Linked DNA regions of Cricetulus griseus. The protein of the gene in region 1 purifies or fractionates together with the protein of each later gene. This does not show direct contact. Links are inferred from orthologs where the notes say so. Each region holds a gene or a part of one and is shown in the gene's direction. Other genes may lie near its edges.

Region 1 (3,645 bases):
TTGGTGACTATCAATCAGGATCAGAGCCAGAGGGTATCTAAGCTCCAACTAGATTTTCCTTTAAGTCTCCTCTCAGCCTGGGTCACAGAATTTGGCCTAGAAGAGGGGAGATGATGGCCCGAACTCCTTTCCTATCTATTTGGGGCTTAGATTGTTTTACTCAAGCAATGTCAATTTTAGGTTATCAAGATGGCCTTGCTCCTCAGTAATAGTCACAATGTTCTTTGGCAAATATTCCAGGCTGTACTTACTCTTTCAGGCTGTTTCGTGAACACTGACCTTATTCTCAGAATATTTTATAACCGGTGGAAATACCTGTTCCTCCTCAACTGCTTCTGTTTCTCCATCCACACACTCTCACTCTTACACTCTCATCCTCTTTCCAACTGTCACATGGCCCTTTACTCCCCAAAAGTTCATGGAAGTTTGCAAAAATACTTCTGGCTTTCCTAGGTCTTTCCTATTCTGAGATCCCTCATGGGACAAGTATATGTAATATATATATATATATATATATATATATATATATATATATTATATGTCACTTGTTGAGGAGTTATTGTAAAGGGGTGCAGATTTTAGCTTTTCAGCTTTGTTTATTTACTTAGTCTGTATTTAATCTTTCTGTGTTTGGCCTGCAGATAAAAACTATCCTGAGTGGTTTCATTATTAGGGGTTATTTGGGTAAGTGGACCCTTGTCATCAAAACTATCACTTTGGTGCTGGCAGTGTCATCTGGCTTGAGCCTGGGCAAAGAGGGCCCCCTAGTGCACGTGGCTTGCTGCTGTGGGAACATCTTGTGTCACTGCTTCAACAAGTACAGGAAGAATGAAGCCAAGCGCAGAGAGGTAATGACATTTGACCTTAATAGTTTATTTTTACTCATGAGCAGAGATGATCTTAGTGGTGAGAATTTGGGGATTTCATCCTTGTGAATTCAACTAGCTTTTGGTTCAGCAGGTTCAGTTCTAGGAGTCTGTTTTATAGCCACGCTAGTATGTGTATATGCACAGGTATCTAAGGATAGTCAACACAAACTTAACATTGTAAAAGCAAAATGTCCATCAAATAAGGCCTTGATTTAAAAAAACTGTTCTGCTCATATCATAGGCAACTGTGCAACCATTTAAAAGAATGAGATAGCCCAAAATAAATTGACATGGACTGCTGACAACAGAACACTACAGCTAGTTTGTGACTACTGTTTATGGGATAACCAGTAAATGTATGTCTTTGCATTTAGGAAGAAAATGTCTAGGGCTGGTGTGGTGGCTCAGTCAGTAAAGTACTTACCTTACAAACGTCCAAGAACCTATTCTTTTAAAGTGGTACATACTTATAATCCCAGTGCTTGGGAGGGACAGGCTGATCTCTGGGTCTCAATGCCCAGCCAGCCTTGGCTGCTAGCCCAGTACCAGGCCAATGAAAGACACTGTCTCAACAAACAAAGTGGATAGTGCCTGAGGAACAACACTTGAGGTTGACCTCTGGCCTCTCTTGCACATACATGCATCTGTACACTTGCATACCTGCATACATGAAGATGAATATATAAAACCCCAAAATATCTGGGAATAATTTTATTCTAAACTGTGAAAAGCATGCACTTTGTGTTAGGTGGGATAATAAGGCAGTAGGAAAGGAGAAGTGAGGACTTGAATTTTTATTTTATTTTTATGTGTCACTTCTTAAAAAGAAACTATAGAAAATAATAGACTTTGAGGGACTTGTTGTGTATGAGTAAATATAAACAGTATTTCAAATGGCAGGTTTTCATCTTTTATTGTTATTAAATGCCACTTGAATTAGTTTCTCCCTGTATTACACCTCTCTCTGCCTGCCTCTTGCTTCAGTCCATCTAAATTCTTTCTACTGTAGCATCACTGTATGTTTTAGTTAGGGTTTTTGTTGTTGTTGTTTGATTTGTTTTTTTTTAAGATTTATTTCTTTATTACATATACAGTGTTCTGCCAGCATATATGTCTGCAGGCCAGAAGAGGGCACCAGATCTCATTATAGATGATTGTGAGCCACCTTGTGGTTGCTGGGAATTGAACCCAGGTCCTTTGGAAGAGCAGTCAGTGCTCTTAACCTCTGAGCCATCTCTCCAACCCCTTAGGGTTTCTAGGGCTGTGAAGAGACACGATGACCACAGCAATTCTTATAAAGGAGAATATTTAATTGGGGTGGTGCGCTTAAAGTTCAGAGGTTCAGTGTATTATCATCATGACAGAGAGCATGGCAGTGTGCAGGCAGATATGGTGCTGGAGAGGTAGCTGAGAGTTCTACATCTTGCAGGCAAGAGGAAGTGAAGTGTCACACTGAATGAAGGTTGAGCAAATGAGCTTCAAAGCTCCCCCCACACACACACTTCCTCCAACAAGGCCACACATACTCCAACAAAGCCACACCTCCTAATAGTGCCACTGCCTTTGGGGGCCATTTCTTTCAAACTAGCACACTGTGCTTATACTCCAGCTCAAATACATCCAGTTGTTAATGTATACTATTTTGAGGAGGAAGAATATTTTTCTTTTTAATTTAAATTTTTTTAGATTATTTTTTTCATTTATTTTATATACTGATCAGTTTTCCCTCCCCCTCTCTTCTCATTCCATCTCCCATCTCCCTTCTACCCCCCCATCCACCAAGAAGGAAGAATAGTTTTTAAAAAATTGTCCTAAGTCATTGGTTCCTTTTATCTTGCTATAATTATTAACCTAAGGAAGCAGTGGTTCTTGTTTTATTTTCCTTGAATGGCCTAAAAGTCACAGGCGGAATAGGTCAAGGCCTAGATCATTTTATTAGAAAGAACCTCTTGTAAAACTGGAATCCAGTGGTTTCTCCTGAAAATAACGACAGCAAAAAGATTAAGCGGAGGCTCTGGAAACTGAAAATGCTGAGGTTTTAAGTGAGGGATAAAGTTTCCACTAAACGGGGAAAAGTTCCTGGAGCAGTCAGAAAGGGGAGGAGAGCAAGCAGGAGTGGCGGAGGGGCATGCTAGTAGAGTGTCATGTGGGAGAAGGACACAGAAGCTGTGCTAAATTAGAGAAGTTGTTTATCAGCAATAACATGTACCAAGTCAGCTAACTGAAAAGAAAACCATTCTAAAGGGCAAGAATAAGTGTTGGTTGCTGCCTTTGCACCGATAGAGTTGAGTTTGAAACTGGATTCCTTTTAGAAGTTGAAATGTTTGTCTGAACTTGCCCGACATTTATCTGACCATCTGGATTTTTAGTCGTTTTGCTTTAACTTAGATATCCTAGTGTTTCTTTCTGTCATGCTGGGCCTCAGTCCCAGAGCCTTGTGAAAGTTACATTGTTTTGTACTTGTCAATAGCAGCACATGTTTGTAACCAGTGGCCTTATGAGCAGATCTGAGTTGGACAGGGGGGGGCAGAGATTCCATCCTCAAATGTAAAACTTAAGTTTCCCCCTCCAGTTTCATCCTAAACATACCCAGTGAAATATCCCTGTTTATGGGTTGAATTTTAGATTCCCTGACCTTCTCAAATGACAGCCTTTTGAGCTCTGACTTGTCCAAGCTCTCAAGGTTAGCACCAGAGATTTATATCCTTTTCCTTCCCCTTAATTTCCCTAGATGGTTTGCCAGTCCTGAAGAAACCTGTCTGCTTGTTTTGCCAAG
Region 2 (4,292 bases), on another chromosome or scaffold:
GTGAAGATGTGTTACTGAGATTGGTTTAATAAGGAGCTGAATGGCCAGTAACTAGGCAGGAAAAGGTTAGGCAGAACTTCTGGGGACAGAGAGGATTCTGGGAAGAAGAAAAGTGGAGTCTCCAGCCAGACATGGAGGAAACAGCATGGACGGTACAGAGAGATGAAGTAAAGAGCCACACCACAGAACACAGATGAAAATAAATGGGTTAATTTAAATTATAAGAGCTAGGGGGACAAGCCTAAGCTAAGACCAAGATTTCATAATTAATAGTAAGTCTCTGTATTGTTATGTTTTTGTGAGCTGGTGGCCCAAAGTCTGCTACAAGGTAACACAGTCACAGGTTCTGGCAGTAGCACAGGGACCTTTGATAGCCATGCTGGTATTCTTATCACACTCTGACAGCTCAGAGAGCTCCTTGCTACCTTACCATCAAAGCTTCACCGCCATCCTGGGCTCTCCTGGCTCGTGGTCTAACTTTCCCACTAGCTATTGCATTCTTTTTTTCCCAACAACAAAGCTCTTACTATCCTAAATTGTAACAGCTGGTTAAACATTGTTTTCTTTGTGGTGTTTAAGTTCTACAAGAGCAGAGTCAAGGTTTGCCTCCACCCTCCCCTAAACAGCCTGCGTGTCTAGCATAGGACCCGACACAATAATATGCCAGGGGAGGAAAACTCTTCTGTGGCACATGGTTCTCCTTGCTAAATTACATTCTGGTCATGCGACTATCCCTCCATCCAGGAACCCCAATCCCTTAAAGCCTAAGAGACTCTTAGCTAAAGAAACTGGTACCCAGAGAGGGAAGGCGTGGTCTCTGGGGTAACACAGGTGATTTCTTCCCTGAAGGACTGAGGCCAAAGCTCAATTGTCCTCACTGTAGTGGCCCTGGGCTCTGATGACTGCACTTTGCTGCACTGTCTCAATTTGCCAGGTCTTTAGAGCCAGTGTAGGCTAATGAGGCACAGCCCCCTGCAGACCACACCTACTAACCCTGTTTTATTCTCCCTAGGTTGTTGTCTTAGTGTGTGTGTGTGGGGGGGGGGGGGGGTAATAGTGACTGGGTCCTTTAGTTCCCTGTAAAACATGTGGCTCTTTAAATATTTTCAGACTGTAAATAAGCACAATCAACCTTGATCTTGTTTTTAAATTGTTATTGTTGTTACTAGCTTCATTTCCAAAAGGCTTTCCCTGAAACAGGAAGATAGTATAACGCGAGGAAGAACAAAGCACTCTGGGAGGAGTTGGCAGGACCCTCCGAGATAGATCTTCGGTTCTCTGTAGGAAAGGCAGACAGTCCCTTTTCTTGCTAGGTCCTGGTAGAGAAATGTCTTCCTCTCCCTAGAGTGGGAGCCTCCAGGACCAGGCGAAGGTGGGACTTGTTGTCTTGACGACTAGCGAGGTTGGGCTGAGCGGCGGCTCTAGCAGCCAATAGAAACTGGAGGGGTGGGGCTTGCTGGTCTGTGGAGGCTGCGGCGGAGCTTGCAGGTTGGTGGACCGCGCTTTGGGGGAGGGGTGCCGGGGGTCGCAGGGACACTGGGGGTTCCCGGCCGCCCCAAATCCTTAGGCAGGGTGTGCAGTGCCCTTGGCAGTCGGAATCGGGGCTTTTCGTTGGTCCCGAGCGGCGCTACGGGGGCAGTGGAGGCAGAGAGGTGGGAGGCGAGGGTAGGAGCGGGGCCTGCTGGTGACGGGATCTGGGGGCTCCGGGAGGCTGTAACCCCAGAAGACTCCCGCTGCTCGTGCACGGGAAGCTCCTGAGAGCTGGACTTGGGGAGCGAAAGGTTTAGAAGGCCCAGGAATCCTGGAACTCAGCCCCCTTGCGTCGTCTGGCAAAGCTGTAATGGGGCCGAGCTGTGTTGTGACCACCTTCCCTTCTTCCGACTCCATGTTTCTTTTTATCCCCCTAGGCGTCTAGTCTTGCTGGCTCAGCAAGCCTGATAAGCATGAAGCTGCTGTGTTTGGTGGCTGTGGTGGGGAGCTTGCTGGTGCCCCCAGCTCAAGCCAACAAGGTGAGGGAGGTGAGCCAGCAGCACCTTGTTGCTCTAGCACCGGGCCTGCGGGGCTTTAGCAGCACCACTCTTTGCCCCTCACCCACCCGAGGACCACACTTGGAGGACCTTACCTGGGGCAAGCTGCAGGCCTTCCCTAGGGGTGTAGGGAACACAGGGTTTGGAGCACCACACCGCACAGGTTTCAGACCAGACTGGCCCTCGGCGGAATTCCCCACAAGCAAGAAAGTTTGTTTAGAGCAGTTACCCAAGTTCTCCATGTCTTCCTTTGCCCTAAGTAAAAACAGCTGTGTTCGAATCTGCTGCTCTATTTGGGGATAATCAAATCACATAACGTTGTAAAGTGCTCTCTGAGTGTAAAGGCATGCACAGATGGTGGTTTCTGCTTCCAGCTGACACAGCTTCGTGGTACACTCCTGAGATTGCTCCCATTCCTTAGGGCTGGAGGACCAGCAGCTGGGTTTGGATGCTCTCTCTTTGTAACAGAGGTCCTATGGCTTTAGATTCTGAGGGTCACCAAGATATTGAGTAGCAGGGCTTGCTTCTTTGCCCTGAAGGAATTCCTGGAGGGAGCCTGCCCATGGAAACACCCACTTTTCTTTATTCAACCCTTCCTCCATCCTAACCTAGGGAGTTAAGACAGATTTGGGGGGAATTCTGGCCCACCTACCCCACCAGACAGAAAATACACAAGTGTGGGCCTCAGGGTTGAGGCCTGTCACTTTGCTTGCTGTATGTCCTGCCTCAGGCAACTTCTGTTTCTTTTGATACCAGAGAGGTTCCTATCTTGAGGCCCCTGTGATGTGGCAGCCTTCCTATAGAGATAGTCCTCCTTGAATTGGGGATGGGAAAATTCAAAAGCATACATATGTACCTCACAGAACAGGACACAAAACTGAAGTGTGCTAGCCTGCCCAGAATCTGAACCCAGGCAGGGTCTTTCCTGCTATTTACTCTTTGTCTTTCTTCCAGAGCTCTGAGGATATCCGGTGCAAATGCATTTGTCCACCTTACAGAAACATCAGTGGGCACATTTACAACCAGAATGTGTCTCAGAAGGACTGGTAAGGCAGTGTAAATGGCTGGCCCTTGGCACAATCACCTGGCTGAAATGATCAGGGCTTTCCTAGACTTCCTATTCTAGAGATAAATTACCCATTTCTGTGGAGTGCCTGCAAAAGAATATTTTGTCCTTAACCATTTGATAACAAAACCCAGGGATCTTGAATTACAGCTTGGGGGGGGCAGTGTTGGATTTTGTTTTCGATTTCAGTTGATGTGAAGAGTGGTGGTAGATAAGTGGGAGGGGCAGGTGTACATAGTATATACCTCGGTACTTTTGCAAACCTGTGTGCTTTGCTGGTTTCATAGCAACCTTCTAATGTAAATAGAGTAGATGCTGTTCCCATTTTATAATTGCATAGACTCAGGTCCAAACAAAGATCTTACGTTGTGCTCCTTGTGTCTCTGGTCTTGAATTCATTTCTTAGCCCCTTACTTAAAAAAGCACAAATAACCAAGAATGCATTCAGGTAAAGAATGTGAAGGTGAAAGGAAGAATAAATACTGTGTTCTAGAAGGAATAGTTTAAGGAGCTAGAATCTCCCTGAAAAGGGAGAGACCTGGGGACATTCCGTGAATGTTCAAGATTGGGAGAACAGCTGCTGAGGGGAAGGGGCATTTGGGATTGGAACCACGAAGGCTTGGGATGATCACATAGTGTAGACGGAAGGCCAGTGGATGGGATGACAGCTTCAGGGAGTCAGCCTCAGTGTGAGTGAGGGAAACATTGCCAGTGCTGGAAGGATGGGAAGCTTCATCCTTGAAGACATCACGGGGTAAGGTCAAGGTGTATGCAGTGAATGGGGGTGGGGGCCAAGGTTGCTACTACCTGTGCATCAGGGAATCACTAGGTGCGCTTTAAGAAAATTTGCAGTTCCGACAGTCTCCTGCCAAGATTTTGATTCAGCAAATATGGTAGCATCTGTCAGAAGAGTAACCTTTGCTTGGAGTCCTTGAGGTGCTCATGATGCCATTGATCCAGAGCACATTTGAGAGTTTTCAGATTCGTAGCAGTTGAATTTTCTGAAAGCCAGTGTTTGTGCATGTTTAGACTCTGGATCCAACTTTTCTGGACCCAAGTCTAGCTTTTTCATTTGTTCATCGTGATTTAGATTACTTAATCCCCACTGTACTTTGGTTTACTTTCTTAATTTTTATGTATATATTTATGTATTGGTGGATGTGTTTGCCCACTTGTCAGGTCACTATGTGTATACAGTG
Region 3 (4,231 bases), on another chromosome or scaffold:
TAGCAATCAGATCCACAGTGCCTCACCAACAAATTTCATACTGACAGTCCTGCGATCAGCAGGACACCACTTAGAAGGACTTGAATTATCCCTGATGTGACAGCATCTTCACAAGAACTGGCGAAAAAGCATCCAGTCCTGCTGATATCGCTCCAGGACAGTTGCCATTAGGACTAAAAAGAGCTAAGTATATTTAATGTTATAGTAGTTTGTGCTAGGTTCTCGTCTAGCATCAACAAGAAACATACAGTAGAAAAATACTGAGAAAATTGTACCCAGTAAATAAAACATTTTCACCAACTAGGAAAGGACCACTTTTAAAAAAATGGTTATCTTTGGGAATAGATTTTGAAATTCATAGAATTCAATTCCCTCTTATTGAAGGGAAGTGATTTTCCTGATGACATTCAGCAAATACCTAAGGGTTGTGATGAGCATGCTGCATCCTTTCCACTACCCCCTCTAATATATATGTATGTATGTATGTATGTATGTATGTATGTATGTATGTGTGTGTGTGTAGTTTATAAGTACATATATATTATATATACACATATATGTATACACACATATATGTATAAAATTAGAGGCACTGTGTCCTCTCTAGGATGCTCCTAAAGTACCAGCAGAAGAAACCTCAAAGAGTAGGGTCAGTGCTCCCAGAACTGAGGGGTCGGCTGGTTTAAATATGTCTTGCCTCACAGGAGCTTAGTGCCTGGATTCTCCACCTCCAGTAGTTCTGGGGGCGCGGGGATGCTACCGGTGCGGTCCATATGTAGCGGAGCCCAAGTTGAGCCAGCCCAGCTCCACAGTCGTGGCCCTCTTCCCAGCCCCAAGCTGCACCAAGGAGGTCAGCCCTTAGTGGAAGCCACACCCACGTAGGCAGCCCACAGCGACTGTTGGAGGTCCTGCAGGGAGCTGAATCCAAGAGGCGCACGGAGCGCAGGTTAGTCTCAAAGCCCGGGAACGAGAGCTCCGACTCTCCGCCTCCGGGTGGGCTTGGGAGCTCCGAACGCTCGGCCACTACTCCCGGCCAGGGCTCCACGCGCAGCACCCTCTCGGCCTCGGCAGTTCCCGGGGATGGGGCTCACCCAGCCTGCAGGACTCGGCCTGCGTGACCTACTCCCCGGAGCAGCAGGGCTAGCCAGCCCCGACCGGGACAGACCCCAGACTGTAGTGCAGCCCGGTGACGGTGGCGGTGGCGGTGACGGTGGCGGTGGCGGTGGCAGCGGCCGCGGCAGGCCCGACGCACCCGGAACCGTTTCCGGGGCGGAGGCTTTCTCGCAGCTGACCCGGCGCGGACGGTGACGCGCAGGCCCAGGCGGAAGTGCGGGCGGAGGATCCCGAGCTGGATCCCGAGCCGGGAGCGGGGCTCGGGGCTCGCTGGGGCGGCTGGCTCCCGCGATGGCAAGTCTGTGGCACGGAGGCCTGCTGCGGCTGGGCTCGGGGCTCAGCCTGTCCTGCCTGGCGCTGTCCGTGCTGCTGTTACCGCAGCTGACAGGCGCCGCCAAGGTGAGTCCCGCCCCGCCAGGCTCCTGACAGGAGCTCCGCCCCTGCCTCTGGCCTGGCTGATACCGGGGCTGCCCACTTGCTCCCCACTCCCGGGTTCTCCTAATCCGACAGCCAGAGCCGCTGCTTCACAGCCCCGACCAGCCCTGCCCAGAGCTCAACCCCTGACAGTCCCCGGAGCCGGGTCTGCAACTCCTCCTCCACCTCCTGACATTTCCCTTCCTATCCCCGACAGCACACACCCGGAACTTGAGGAGCTTTCCAGCCCTGGGAGCTTTGAACTTTCCACCCTTAAACTCCGGTGGCCCACTCCGGCCCTTCACCAGCCCGCAGGCCCCAACTCAAATCATGGGAAATCCTCACCTTCATGAAGTCTTCCCTACTAGGGACTAGCTCCTCTCGACTAATCCATGAGCAGATTCCATTGCCATGGTGGGGGCTCGCCTCTCGTGGCAACCACCCCTTCCCAGGAGGACCTACAGAGTTATCTCACCAGCCTGATACTCTCACCTCCAGAAACGAACACACACACACACACACACACACACACACACACACACACACACACACACACACACACACACACACACACACACACACACACCGACCTACCACCCTCCCTCCCTCTTCTGATAAGGGAAGAACCAGCCTAGGAAAGAGGAGAGATTGTGTCCTTTCCCTTTTTGTGTTTCTTAACCATTCTGGTCCCCTCATGTTGTTATCTGGTGTCCCAGAGCTGCCATGGCCCAAGAAACATGTGCTTTCTTCCCAGTGAGCTAACTCATTTTGGGACAAAAATAGGTGTGGTGATGTAAATGACACTGCATTTTTAAAAGAGGAGTTTTATAATATCTTTAAATATTATAAAGGGCTGGGAAAGACAGGTTACAGGAAGGCAGATGTTTTTGGTGAGTTTTTTTTTCAATCTTTCTGATATCACCAGAAATAGGCACAGCAGAAAGTCTCCCAACTTTTGTAATATTGTTGGAACCCTCTGCCTGGATGTCATACATGACCATTTTATGTAGTGTATCATGATATACATAATACATGCATTTGTCTATCTCCCCTTGATAGGATTTGTTCCAGTAAACAGGAGCCACGCCTCTTGTTTTTCTGAGTCGTCCTCATTGAACACAGGGTCTGGCACTGTGGTGGCCAAATACATTTAGGAATTGCCAACAGCTCTGCCAGACATTTCATTGTACGTAGGGACAGTGGACAAGTCTCTCTGGGGAATAATGAGCCACTGCCTTCTCAAATAAACACCCCTTTGCTGAGAAAGCATGTCTTGGCCCTGTCCAGCATTTAATGTCTGCTTTCTCTGCTTGATGAAACTTGTTTTGCTAGGAGTTGTCCTCCTGTTAACTGGGGGGAAGGGGCATTAGCAAGGTTTGGCAAGATTAAAGCTACTTTCCCTTTGGACTACCCTCCTAGCACTGACTGAGTGCCCCTGAATCTTCATCCTGTCTATAGCTAGCGAAGCCCCTTTTATCCATGCTCAATGCCTTTCTCCCAAAAGGAAAAAAGTTAGAAACAATGAAGTTAGTAGAATTCTGGCTTCCCCCCACTTTTGTTGCATGCAGATTGAATTGGCCTTGTGTGTGCTGTATATGCCTTAGCACTGAGCCACATCCACCCTCAGCCTGGAATTATGGTGTGCTTGTAAATAATTTTTATTTTAATTCTCCCCAGTCCTTTTGTATCAGCATTTCTCTTCGTGTCTTTCTAGTGGCAGGTAGATGACAACACAATTTGGTTGTCATGGGATTCATAAATGTGTTGAATAAAACACACACCAGGTCTTGTGGGCTTTAAGGATCTTTATGATGGTTTTAGAATACCTGACAGGATACTTGTCGAAGTGTATTGTGCAGATGTTTTTTTTTAAATATTGATGATACACTATAAACAAGTTATGCTTTCATTTTCGTTACAGAATTTTGAAGACGTGAGGTGTAAGTGTATCTGCCCTCCCTATAAAGAGAACCCCGGGCATATTTATAATAAGAACATATCCCAGAAAGATTGGTAAGTATTATGGGTCAAGAAATCACCTGTCACGTTTCTATCTGTGGTTTTTACTGTTAACTCAGAATATTCATACATTGTTTCATTTAGTTTTTACGCAAAAATGTCAAGTTCTATTTCTTTAAAATGAGACTAGGGTCCTGAGTGCATGATACAAAACTACAGGAATACTGTAGCCCAGACAGGAAGCTCTAGGCTAGGAGGTTTCATATGGAGATGGGACTGAGTTTATTGTGCCTAAACTACCAATAGCTACTGTCTTGTGCCCTCTTAAACTTACTCTTACTCTTACTTCTCAGTGAAAGGTAAGTTGAGACTTTTTAAGCACTTTAAAAATTTTGTATGTGTTCAGGCACACATGTGTGAGTGTCTGTGGAGACCAGAAGAGGGTATTGAATTCCCTGGAGCTGGTGTTACAGGTGTTTGTAAGATGACAAACTTGGGTGCTGGCAAATGAACTCCAGTCCTCTACGACAGTAGCCAGCACTCTTAACTACCAAGCCCTCTCTCCAGCTGCTGGTTTATAGTTTTTACAACTCATACAATTTTTTTTTTTTTGCTGGGAGTAGGGGGTTGTTTTGGTCTGGGATTTGCTTTTTGTTTGTTTGTTTGTTTGTTTTGAGGCAGGGTTTTACTGTATAGCCCAGATCAGCCTGGCACCTGTTTTGACAGCAGGCTGGCCTCAAGCTCT

What was found.
Region 2: the proteins of Clcn5 (region 1) and Tmem9 purify together in Homo sapiens (co-immunoprecipitation; 3 studies listed by BioGRID and IntAct, with this or other methods). This does not show direct contact. The link is inferred for Cricetulus griseus from reciprocal best matches to the Homo sapiens genes CLCN5 and TMEM9.
Region 3: the proteins of Clcn5 (region 1) and Tmem9b purify together in Homo sapiens (co-immunoprecipitation; 3 studies listed by BioGRID and IntAct, counting the BioPlex papers as one, with this or other methods). This does not show direct contact. The link is inferred for Cricetulus griseus from reciprocal best matches to the Homo sapiens genes CLCN5 and TMEM9B.

What each region holds. Positions count from the first base shown.
Region 1 is NC_048604.1:113,634,753-113,638,397, reverse strand, and holds part of Clcn5 (H(+)/Cl(-) exchange transporter 5), read left to right. Parts: intron 1-641; coding exon 642-848; intron 849-3,645. UniProt on the Homo sapiens protein: Proton-coupled chloride transporter. Functions as antiport system and exchanges chloride ions against protons. Important for normal acidification of the endosome lumen. May play an important role in renal tubular function.
Region 2 is NC_048598.1:53,257,802-53,262,093, reverse strand, and holds the start of Tmem9 (transmembrane protein 9), read left to right. Parts: upstream 1-1,402; 5' UTR 1,403-1,488; intron 1,489-1,514; exon of another isoform or gene 1,515-1,652; intron 1,653-1,907; 5' UTR 1,908-1,943; coding exon 1,944-2,018; intron 2,019-2,981; coding exon 2,982-3,073; intron 3,074-4,292. UniProt on the Homo sapiens protein: Transmembrane protein that binds to and facilitates the assembly of lysosomal proton-transporting V-type ATPase (v-ATPase), resulting in enhanced lysosomal acidification and trafficking.
Region 3 is NC_048596.1:90,968,753-90,972,983, forward strand, and holds the start of Tmem9b (transmembrane protein 9B), read left to right. Parts: upstream 1-1,314; 5' UTR 1,315-1,404; coding exon 1,405-1,512; intron 1,513-3,448; coding exon 3,449-3,540; intron 3,541-4,231. Other genes in the region: Nrip3 (nuclear receptor-interacting protein 3), read left to right, coding at 705-762, 831-946, 1,038-1,308. UniProt on the Homo sapiens protein: Enhances production of pro-inflammatory cytokines induced by TNF, IL1B, and TLR ligands. Has a role in TNF activation of both the NF-kappaB and MAPK pathways.